Linked DNA regions of Danio rerio. The protein of the gene in region 3 purifies or fractionates together with the protein of the main gene of each other region. This does not show direct contact. Links are inferred from orthologs where the notes say so. Each region holds a gene or a part of one and is shown on either strand. Other genes may lie near its edges.

The links.
Region 1: the proteins of kifap3b (region 3) and kif3a purify together in Homo sapiens (co-immunoprecipitation; 9 studies listed by BioGRID and IntAct, counting the BioPlex papers as one, with this or other methods). This does not show direct contact. The link is inferred for Danio rerio from reciprocal best matches to the Homo sapiens genes KIFAP3 and KIF3A.
Region 2: the proteins of kifap3b (region 3) and kif3b purify together in Homo sapiens (co-immunoprecipitation; 7 studies listed by BioGRID and IntAct, counting the BioPlex papers as one, with this or other methods). This does not show direct contact. The link is inferred for Danio rerio from reciprocal best matches to the Homo sapiens genes KIFAP3 and KIF3B.

The regions. Positions count from the first base shown.
Region 1 is NC_133189.1:28,240,114-28,244,452, reverse strand, and holds the start of kif3a (kinesin-like protein KIF3A), read right to left. Parts: upstream 2,934-4,339; 5' UTR 2,796-2,933; coding exon 2,790-2,795; intron 1,428-2,789; coding exon 1,145-1,427; intron 1-1,144. UniProt on the Homo sapiens protein: Microtubule-based anterograde translocator for membranous organelles. Plus end-directed microtubule sliding activity in vitro. Plays a role in primary cilia formation. Plays a role in centriole cohesion and subdistal appendage organization and function.
Region 2 is NC_133198.1:7,795,767-7,799,425, reverse strand, and holds part of kif3b (kinesin-like protein KIF3B), read right to left. Parts: intron 2,900-3,659; coding exon 2,781-2,899; intron 1-2,780. UniProt on the Homo sapiens protein: Microtubule-based molecular motor that transport intracellular cargos, such as vesicles, organelles and protein complexes. Uses ATP hydrolysis to generate force to bind and move along the microtubule. Plays a role in cilia formation.
Region 3 is NC_133177.1:26,558,875-26,562,533, reverse strand, and holds part of kifap3b (kinesin-associated protein 3b), read right to left. Parts: intron 1,484-3,659; coding exon 1,384-1,483; intron 110-1,383; coding exon 1-109. UniProt on the Homo sapiens protein: Involved in tethering the chromosomes to the spindle pole and in chromosome movement. Binds to the tail domain of the KIF3A/KIF3B heterodimer to form a heterotrimeric KIF3 complex and may regulate the membrane binding of this complex.

The DNA.
Region 1 (4,339 bases), on a different chromosome or scaffold from region 3:
CTGTGATATAACAAAATGCTATTGGCTGTTTTTTTAAAGGGGAGGAGCAATGCCACGTCCCACCCTCTCTTAATTTTTCAGTTGCACATAATGCACATTTTAAAGCACTTCACGGGACCTTTAAGATTGAGTTCTTCGCTCATTCATCTCCGCTCTATAATATTGATGATGTGATTGTATCTTTTTCAATGACTAGAACATTTAAATCTGAATTAATTAGGATATTTCATAAGAGTGATGAACAACAGGAGATTTCTGATGTTTTCTTCTGGTTGCGCTCATATGTACAGTGAAACAAACTGTAACCATATTTCATTTCTAAGTAGTACAACTAATCAAATTACTTTGTTGTACTACTTTGAAAGACAGAACATCTACAGGTATATACATGCTGCATATGTAAGACAGAGGGAAAAAATTGCATCTTTACTTTTACGTCCATCAGGAATAGATTTATTTAATTATGTTAATGTTATTAACATTTCAAGCTCTACAATGTGAAAAGTCTCAGTAACTATTGTCCATATTGAACGATAACGATACTGTACATTTCAATAGAAGCTATTAAAGCTTCCAGATTTAAAAGAGTAGCCCAACAATCGCTGAAGCCACAAAAATTAGAGGATCCATTAAATGACATAGCATATTTTCAGATCGGTGGCCGAAAATTTAGTACATCTCTTATATCAGCACACTTTTAGATTCCCATTGTTGAACATTTCTGCTGTGTGATTGGCTCTTAGATCAATATAGAGTAAAAAAGGTCAGAGTACATCATTACTGACAAAAACTTTAGAGCGGTTTGATATAATATCGTTTATCGGCCCAGCCTTACTTGACTTTGTGCACAATAAGTGAATGCACAAACAACAGAATGAGAAGTTTTTTTGATTAGCAGATATAAGAGGCCTCACATTTTTTACAGAGCAACATCAAATCTTTAAACCCCTTACAGTATATCGCTTGTGCAATTTTACTATTTCTTGTTAAATATCTGATTCTGCATTATAACTACAACTTAATTGAGACAAATAGCAAATGGCAAGACTTTCCTAAAAAAAAAGTTGTACAACATTTACAAAACATGTACCAAAACATTTGTTATCTGCAAGATCAGACAAACAGACAAAACGGTTTTACTTACCATTGTAACCCTCTAATACGGAGTCTATGATGGGCCGTGCTGTTAAATTATACACATCCAGCTGTTTACTGTCTGGGCCGAACACTGTGTCGAAGGTGAACGTCTTTGGAGGCTCACTGCTTATATCAAGTTTGTTCACAGTGATGGTTCCTCTGATCTCGTCCACAGTTACGGACTGCTTGTGTCCCATTATCTTCTCCTTCTCATTGAGTGGACGACATCTCACCACCACTTTCACATTATCACTCACCTCCAGCTTCTCTGGTTTGTCCAGCTTATTGCTCTGCAAAAAACACATGATCTGTTTGTCAGCAATATGTAAGCAGGCCATAAATAAAAATCCAAATTCATTCATTTTCTTTTCAGCTTAGTCCCTTTATAGTACTGATGTCGCCACAGCGGAATGAACCGCCAAATTATCTAGCACGTTTTTATGCAGGGGGTGCCCTTCCAGCCGCAACCCATCTCTGGGAAACATCCATACACACTCGAACAATTTAGCCTACCCAATTCACCTGTAGCGCATGTCTTTGGACTGTGGAGGAAACCTGACCACCCTGAGGAAACCCACGCGAACACAGGGAGAACATGCAAACTCCACACAGAAACGCCAACTGACCCAGCCGGAGCTCGAACCTTCTTGCTGTGAGGCAACAGCACTACCTACTGCGCCATCACGTCGCCTATATAGATTACTTATTTACGCTAAATGTTTCTCCCTAGCTGTGTGTAGAAGTTTGCTGCTGCCATAAAATTAAGTTTAAAAGTCTGTCTTTCTGAATAGTCAGAATTATGATTATGAAATATAATATTCACTTTATTTCTTTCTATTTTGTATGACAATTATGACGTTTTCTCCTGTTCACAAAAATAATGTAATGGAAGAATATGCTACAGCAAGTAAGTTTTTAAGTAAGTTTTAAGTAAGTCGTTAACCTTCATAATAAAAGTGTCAAATTAATATTTGAGTGTAATTTAGGATGACAAAATGTTATTTCATTTAAAGAAAATTAATTTAAATGTATCATTACAATTGATCATGCTCGTTGAAAGAAGAGATTTATAATTATTACATTTGTTGTAAGCATAGACTGTAACATATAAGCTATATGGGTTCTCTTGTACAATAAAGGTCACTGGCTGTTTGTGTATTAAATAGGTGATGTGGATTCAAAGCTGTTGCTAAGCAGCGGGTTAGACCGCCCGGCCTGCTAACAGCTAATTTAACAGACAACAAAAAAACACGTTCATTTTTTCACAGATAACACAGCTTGTGGGCTGTAGTAATCTTGCCTGAATCAATTTCAAATGAGTCTAAAAGTAAATCTGGCTCGTTGATAAATTTAAATATCGTTAAAGCCCACGAGCTTGCGGCGAAGCTAATAACTAACGTTAACGTTAGCAGGCTGCTAGCTTGAGGTGCACAAAACCTTTCTGGCCATTGGAAGAACAAAATCATCTCGTAACAATTAAACGCATCATAAAACGGAACAATAGTAGTAAAACGCAAGGCATAAAAGCCTGTCAAATAACAGTCTGTGAATATTTGCATGAAATTCCGGTTGCAAGCAAAGGAATGACGGGAAGGTGGGGCATAACAACACATATTATAATGATAAATGAAGATAAGAAATGACAGTCTTACCGGCATTATCAGACGCGGGTTTGTGAGCCTTTTTTGAGACCCAAATAAACGTTTTTTTGTGTGTTTGAAATGATAACCGATGAGCTCATTCGGGTGGATGATGTATTTTTCCAGCTCAAGCGCCCATCCCAACCTGCCCTCTGTAACTGGACATGCGCGGATATCCGCGATCCTGACTTCACCTCGGGATATACATATTTGTGTTTATCCACGTTTAACCTCTTTCATTTTTTCTTATTGAATTTAAGTCTCTCATTTCATATCTGATGCAGATAAAAAATGAATTTAATACGGCGCCCTTCTATTTATCCACGTACACCATTTGTGTTGTTTTGATGTTATTGATACGTTTTCCCTCTTAACATATATACATGTTAACAATTTGTTTTGTGATTTATTAAAGATATTGGTAGTTTAATGCTTTATCTTTTTCCCATCTATAAATTAGTTATTATTAATAGAGACATTCTTTCAAAAACATATACATGTTCACTAATAAAAAAAACGTAACAGGGTCTAACTTAAGCTTGTCCTCCTTCAAACAAATCCTACAAAACAAAGCATAAAATCATAAAAATCGATGATAAATTGCATCCTTGATCACTGTCAGCTTCTACTCCATCAAATGACGTCACCAAATGAGTATGAATGAATGGCACATTCCTCTACAGAACAATTCACAGGAATCAACCATCAGTCCATTTAAGATTTTTTTTTTTGATAAAATCCTTTTTTCCCCACTGTATTTATGTTATTATTTCAGAGACAAATGTTTCTGGTATGCCTCGTTAATATTAATCAGTGGATCAATGCACTAAAAAGAAATAATTTCCTCAGCGTGATTCTGTTGTATAGGCTTACACACACACACACACACACACATTAATGTTAATAAACAGAGTGGATTCTGAAATGTGTTTTGTTGCTTTTTATTAGTTTAGGTTTAGAGTAATAACTTTCCCAAAATTCCAAAATAAAAAATGAAATAAAATAGGAACTGAAAACAGGAAAGTTATAGAATACAGTTGTCAGGATATACTGTATTTGCTATGATGTTTCACACAACAAAACATTTCCACTTTTACTGTTTTGAGACATCAGGAATTTGTGCGTAAAAGACAATCTTATGTAAAGGCCCATTCACATCATGAACAATAACTGTTGTATTAAAGTGCAATAGTTGTCTGAATTGGATCAAAACATTGCACCACCAATGTTGTCCTAAAACTATACAACAACATTCTCTCAGGACAATTTTGAGAATCGACATGACTATAATGATAAAGACACAGTGGAATGATATTGGCCCGATCTCAAATGGCACACTTCATTTGTACTTGAAGTTTGCTATTGAATCCCATTTTCTCTGCAATGCCTTACCACAGGACATATTCTTTTTAAGATTTTTGTTGACACTGTGATTTCAACATTCTCAAAAAAGACAAGGACAGCCCCATAACTGGATGGCCGTTGTTTCAATGCACAGTGGTGGGGTGTTAAAAGAAAAATCTATACATTCCACTATGCTCTTTTTTTTTTAAACCACAACT
Region 2 (3,659 bases), on a different chromosome or scaffold from region 3:
CTTCTCACAAACCAGATGCTTTATACACATAAATACTTGTGTATAAATGTTCATTACTAACCTTTATATGAACATGATTTGATTATATCTGCAGATCAATAATAACCTAATAAACAGCCTACTGTAATATCTGCAATTATTTAAAATAAAATACATAAATGCAACATATATGAACACACACAGCCCCTTACAGTCTCTGATTTGTTACCAAATACAGAAAAACTACACACAGCATACATTTAGTCCTTTTTTGGGTTCAAAAACAACATATAGCCCAGCCAGAGCAAACCTCTCAACTGTGTGCTGATTCTTCACCAGCACATATAAGCTCTGCTAGAGAGTAATTCCGTCATTCCCAGTTTATAATAGTCCAAAAGGCGATGATAATAGTTAAACATGGCAGTTTGTTCATGTTTTAGGTTGCTGAAAGAATCATTTGCTCCTTTGTTTTTCCGACTTCTTCTTCGTTTTTTTGCGCATCACTCTCGTTTATCCGTTTTTGAAAGAATCTCAGAAGCACTTCAATAATCATGCACATTTTATTATCATCAACTCAAAAAGTTCGTTATTTCAAATATACACGAGCGGCGAGCGATCGCAAGCTCTGCAGAGAAAGTGAACCCACTGGCGCTTTAGACGACCTCGTACACAACAACACACACAGGTTCTGCTCTTCTTGGCTTTATGGCTGTTCATCAAAATGACGACAAGGTTTTGTTTGAACTCGGGTCGACCATGGCTCATCATTATATGTATAAATTGTTACGTTGTAATGTCTTGGCTGTGTATTTAATAATGGTGCTTCCATTGTTTTCATTCTCCTGTCTTGTGAATGAGCTAGTGACGTCTCTCTGTAAACAAATAGCGTTCAGCTGCTGTCTCACTCTGCCTTTTGGTACCCTTTTGTTGTGCTAGATGTTATGGTACGATTCGCTTTCTGGTACCTTTTAAAGGTGAAAACGGCCATTAAAGTGGACCGAACCGTACCGTACCACTCAGTGGAAACAGGCCATAAAAGAACTACATTTGAAATGACTTTTTAAGACTCAATGTTGCAACTTTTTGGTGTATCATGTTCTTTACTATCTTTTATATTTCTAACTTTATAATTATCATTTAGAACAAAAATTAATAACTTTTATATATTTATTTCTGGGGTTTTTATTTTGCTCTAATTAGAAAGGGATTTGTGCACCTTGAGTGTTGTGGGCTATATAAATAGAAGTCTATTCACTGATTCCACAAATATTAATGTGGAATACTAAAGGCTATATAAATAGTGAAAATATTAATAGTGAATAGTGAATAATATTATATTAATAATATTAATGTTAATATAAATAGTGAATTAATATTAATGTGAAATACTATAAGGGCTATATAAATAGAAGTCTATTTACTGAAATACTAAAGGCTATATAAATAGTGAAAATATTAATAGTGAATGGTGAATAATATTATATTAATAATATCAATATTAATATAAATAGTGAATTAATATTAATGTGAAATACTATAAGGGCTATATAAATAGAAGTCTATTTACTGAAATACTAAAGGCTATATAAATAGTGAAAATATTAATAGTGAATGGTGAATAATATTATATTAATAATATTAATGTTAATATAAATATTGAATTAATATTAATGTGAAATACTATAAGGGCTATATAAATAGTAAAAATATTAATAGTGAATAGTGAATAATATTATATTAATAATATTAATGTTAATATAAATAGCGAATTAATATTAATGTGAAATACTATAAGGGCTATATAAATAGAAGTCTATTTACTGAAATACTAAAGGCTATATAAATAGTGAAAATATTAATAGTGAATGGTGAATAATATTATATTAATAATATCTATATTATTATAAACAGTGAATTAATATTAATGTGAAATACTATAAGGGCTATATAAATAGAAGTCTATTCACTGATTCCACAAAATATTAATGTGAAATACTAAACTATTTATGATAAAACACTGGGATTGTGTCATTTAAAAATCAATATAAAGAAGTTTTAAAATGGCACCTTTTTGTTCGTTTGTTCTGTTTATTTTATGGTATTTTTATTGTTTAATTGGAAATGTCATCAGTAGTTTGCAGAATAAACTAAATTTTATGTTACATAAAATAATTTCAAAATATGCTTGAAAATTGGCATGTGTTTCTGTGAAGGTTGGGATTAGGGGAAGTTAGGCCAGAGACAGTAACTTTAACCTGATATAAAAAACAATGAAGGTCCACGTAATGTCCTCACTAAGAATGTGTGTGTATATTGCATATTTTTTGAAAATGAAGTTGTTCTTATAAATTGTATACAAGTTGTATAAACCCACATGTAACTAACACAATCTTGGCAGAGAGAGAATTGTAGACAAAACAACTTGTAGCAAAAAATGTATCTTTCCTTATCTTGAACATTAACCCAAATTTCATTCTGCCAACTGCACTCAAAAGCAGCCTGCCAGATACATCTTCCTCTTAATAGATACTCTCCCTCTCCGGCCACCCACAGTGTTCTCAGCCTGTATGTGTATTAAACTCTTGACATCTGTAATGTAGTAGAGCTGAGTCCAGATTTCCAAGCAGTTTGTCTCATCAGCGAGACTCAATTAGGTCAAAACGTTTTAGATGTTACTTTTTAAAATTCAGCTTCCACATTGAAACACTGACCACTGAAACTAAATAAAAGTGAATATCCATTGTACATAATGTAAAATATTGCTATAATGCTAATAATAAGAGTTTTATGGGTTCACATACTTGAGTTTAAGTTCTCTGGTCAGTTCATTCTGAGTCTGTTCCAGTTCCTGTCTGTATTTCACGTGCTCATCCTGGGCATCCTGAATCTCTGACTTTACAGACTGAAGCTTGGAAAAGAGCTGTAGGAAAGGCACAAAAACAAACAGGACATGATAAAATGAGGCTCTTCATAGGAATAGGCAAGGCATTCGCTTTGTAAACTCCAGCTAAACGAGGTCAAATTCATTCACGTATGGATGAATTTTAACAAGGAGGTTGGAGATCTGCCATGAGAGCTGTCCTACTATCAATGACTCCAGAGAATACAGCTAGACTCTAATAATACATCTGATCACATACAGAAGCGGTTTTCATAATGTCATTTTACCAAGATATAATACGACAGATCATATACAGGGGCCTTGTGATTTGTACGATGCATAAAACATGAACAGAATCATAGAAGCCAGTCAAAGCTTGGAATCTGGCAAAACGTGGATAACCATTTATAAGGCTGGATTAGAGCTGCAAAATTAATCGTTAAAAGATCGCGATCTCGATTCGACCCTCTAACGATCTTAATCCAGCATTTCTACGATTCTGTCAATCATATTTTCAAGTTCAGGAGAGAAAAAAAGGCGGCTGCACGGGTCTGTTTATTGTTTCACATACGTTGCTCAGTGACACTGACACCTCTAAATAATGTTGAACGAGTCACATAATGTATTTATAAGGTATAATTCACCTAAAAATGTAATTTTTGACTTCATATAATGATGTTTTCGCGGCCGGGAAATCACACGTGACGTGAGCTGCTGGCTGTGAGCTGTTATCACAGAGAGGGCGCGTGGCCGCTCAACTTAATGATAGACGCGCGCGCGTCTACTCTAGTGAACAGAA
Region 3 (3,659 bases):
CTCCAACTCGTCCTGCCACAGGTCATATTTCTTCAGCTCATGTTCGATGACGTTCATACACAGCGCTCCGATCTTATAATGTGTAATGAGCCCATGGAATTGAGAAAAACTGCAGGAAAGACAAAGTCATGATGGCCTGTCCTCCTTCGACCTCTCCTGGCACATTCAGAGATACAATCTAGACGACGGCCAGTATGCAGAGTCTGACGTGCCAGATGAATTTCATACTCTAGTTCTGATTAGTGAATAAACAGAGCTGAAAGATCAGACCAAACAACTCATCATACATTTCAAATACATCCTTCAAACGTCAAAGTCATTCTCGCTCGCGGAAAGAAATTTCCACATTAGCCATCTGATGGTGAGGGCCAAGGAAAACCTTCAAATCAGAAGGCACACTTGCATTGCTCGAATAAATGCTGACAGCTATCTCAGAAAAGCAGTAACCTGATCTGCGGCCACTAAAGATGTTTTGAGAATGTACTGTATGACGGGTTTCTTTAAGGCTTATAAAAGAGAATGATTACAAGAAAGAAAAATGCTAAATAGAGAAATCGCACTACTGCTCTGAAATACAATATGCTGTGTAATTCTCTCACTTCAATAATGTTCAAAAGATTTTTTGTTTTGTTTTTAAAGAAGGCTTTTTTTTTACTGATCAGGGCTGCATTTATTTTTTATTTATTTAAAATAAAATACAACTGTGAATACAAATATTGTCATGAATAGTATAGTAATTTAAATAGTTCACACAAAAATGAAAATTCTGCCATGAATTATTTACAATTGACTTGTTCCAAAGCAGTTAGTTTTTTTTTGTTTTGTTGAACACAAATGAAGATATTTTGAAGAATGTTGGAAACCTATTGCCATTGACATCCATAGTAGGAAAAACATTTATAATGGAAGTCAATGGTTACAGGTTTGTTACGATGGCCAGAAATTTTAAAGGAAGTTTCTAGCTATCTTTAAATATCTTTCAGCAGAACAAAAAAAAAATCGTTTTGAGAGAACTATCCCTTTAAAATATAACTTTCCTGGCATTTATTTAAAATATATAAGAAAACTGAAATTTAAGCATGTTTACTTCAGTGTCACACAATCCTATCGTTCTAGTGTGTTTTGAATCAGCACATGTCTGTGAATTATTACTGCACAAAGTCCTCATAAACAATCAAAATATAGTTTGAAGTTGTTTTGTTGGTTGTAGAAATTATGTTTTAAAACTGTTGAATTTAGAGACATAACTTCTCAGAGAGTTCACAGTGCTGACAGTACTTTTAATCTGCATTCATCAGCAAGCTGCCCTGTTAAAGCACCACAAAAACAAAAAAAACAGCAAGGCTGTTGTCAAGAGCAATAAACTGTAAAGAAATTGTGTACCTTGAGAAGCAGAAAAATACATAGATGATGGTAGTTGCTAACTCCACACTGTGTTTCCAGTCCTCTCTCAGTACGCGAGCCAGAGCTCCAAGTGCAGTTTCTGAAATACATTTAATACATACTAATTACTGGTATACATTAAACCTATACACTTATAATACAACCATAATCTGTATACATTTTTGTATTCAAGGCCATTTTGTTTTACATAAGAATTGTCATGTTATTAAGCAGTCAAAAACACTCTTTAAAAGTTTACTTAACCGGCTATTACCTACAACACAACTCAGGATCAAAATGATTTACTCTAATGGGTTTATATTTGATAGCTCACTCACTCCTTATAAGTCTTTTTAAATTGTTTGTTAAAATATTTTTTGACAAACCAAATATTTTAATTTCAGTTCATCACACTGTGTGTGTGTGTGTGTGTGTGTGTGTGTGTGTGTGTGTGTGTGTGTGTGTGTGTGTGTTTGTGTGTGTGTTTGTGTGTGTGTCTGTACGTGTTTTTGTGACATATCAGGACAAAAATCTATATAATGACATGGGTATGACACAGGTATTGCAAAAAGGAGGTGAAATATGAGGACATTGGTGACATCCTCATTTCTCAAAATGCTTATGAATCCTACAGAATGAGTTTAATCAGAGAGTAAAGCTGCACACAGTCTCCTGATGGTTGGGTTTAGGGGTGGGGTGAGGGCAATATGATATACGGTTTGGACAGTATATAGAGTAGCTTACACACAGTTCAGTCTTGCATCATCTCCTTGTAAGTTCAGACTTCAAAAGTTTGATATGGAAAACATCAAAAACTCCTGAGGACACGTCGGGTAAATCTTCAAAGGGAAACGTGTACTCTATAACCTCATTCATATCACCCCGGCTATGTTGTTTCACTTTCTCAACAATAAAATGAAAACCTGAAATGAAGAACTGCCTATTTTTATTTTAATATTAACTAAACAGACACCAAAAATGTTGAGGCGTTGTGTAGCAGCATATTTATATAAGCGTCATTTTCACTGTATGCATATTTATAACAAAATGGTTCCTATAACTTAACTGCCTCCTTTCATTTTTTATTGAAAATACGATATATACCCTCTCTTTTGCTCAAAATAAGTTTAATTATTAATTATGACTATTATAAAAAGTAATAGATTTAAAAGTCCAAAGTCTGGGAATATGTGGTTAGATATAGACAACAAGATTAATTAAATATCACGTTAACAAATATAGTAAGATTAGCTCCCGCAGTAGATTCTTGATGAACAGTCTGACGCGCACAGCTCATATATGGGTAATGTGCTCAAAGCACGCTGCAATGCATGCCAGAGTGTGTGTGTGGTCACGTGATGTGCATTTACAGCGGTGTAGTATAGACTAAGAGCTGTTCAGAAACGCTGGGTAAAATGCTAGTGTGGACGCGGATCATTTTCATTCTAAAACACTGTTTTAAAACTAAAAGGTATTAGTGTAAACGGGGCCTGAGACCTGTGTCAGATAGCGACCATTCCAAACATGCATGGTCAATATAGAGCTTCTGATTTTTGGGGCATTTTGTGGAGTAGTAAATGAGCATATAAAACCATTTCTAAAGTTTTTTTTTTTTTTAAACTTAACTTAATTAGGGCACTTCCCTATTATTTAGATATCACAGAAAAAAAAACTTATCTTACTGAATCAATGCAGTACAGGGCACCTTTAACTAAAAATCATATTTTTGACACTGAATGAAACTCCATACAGCATATAACTGGCTTCAGAATATTTTGTATGAACTTTGTTAAAGTTCTCAGAAGACACAGTTTGTACTGTTTATTCACTTTTTAACAACTATACTTTTTTCTTTTTACATTTTTATACCACTTTCATAAATCACAATTTTAATATAACCTTATCCTATGATAAAAAGCTGAAATTTCAACATAATTTTTCACTGTCACAACCCATCAAAATCCACAAAATAAGGTTCAGCATTTATGTAATGTAAAGTCTCAATTATGTGTATGTGTGGTCAACTATTTATAGAAGTTACTATATTAATAGTATATATGTACTCTATAGTCAGAGGGTTAACCGTTGTAAAGCTCCATAATTCTTTTTCTTATACTGTATTTTTGTGCTTAATGCAATGCACAGATTATATTAGTGGTTTACTATTTATTTTTGCTAAAACTGTATTTGAATAAGAATTGTTAATAGCCGCTTCAAAAGAATAAACTGAACAAAATAAATTCCTCACAGGATTAAACCAACTCAATCCAATAGAA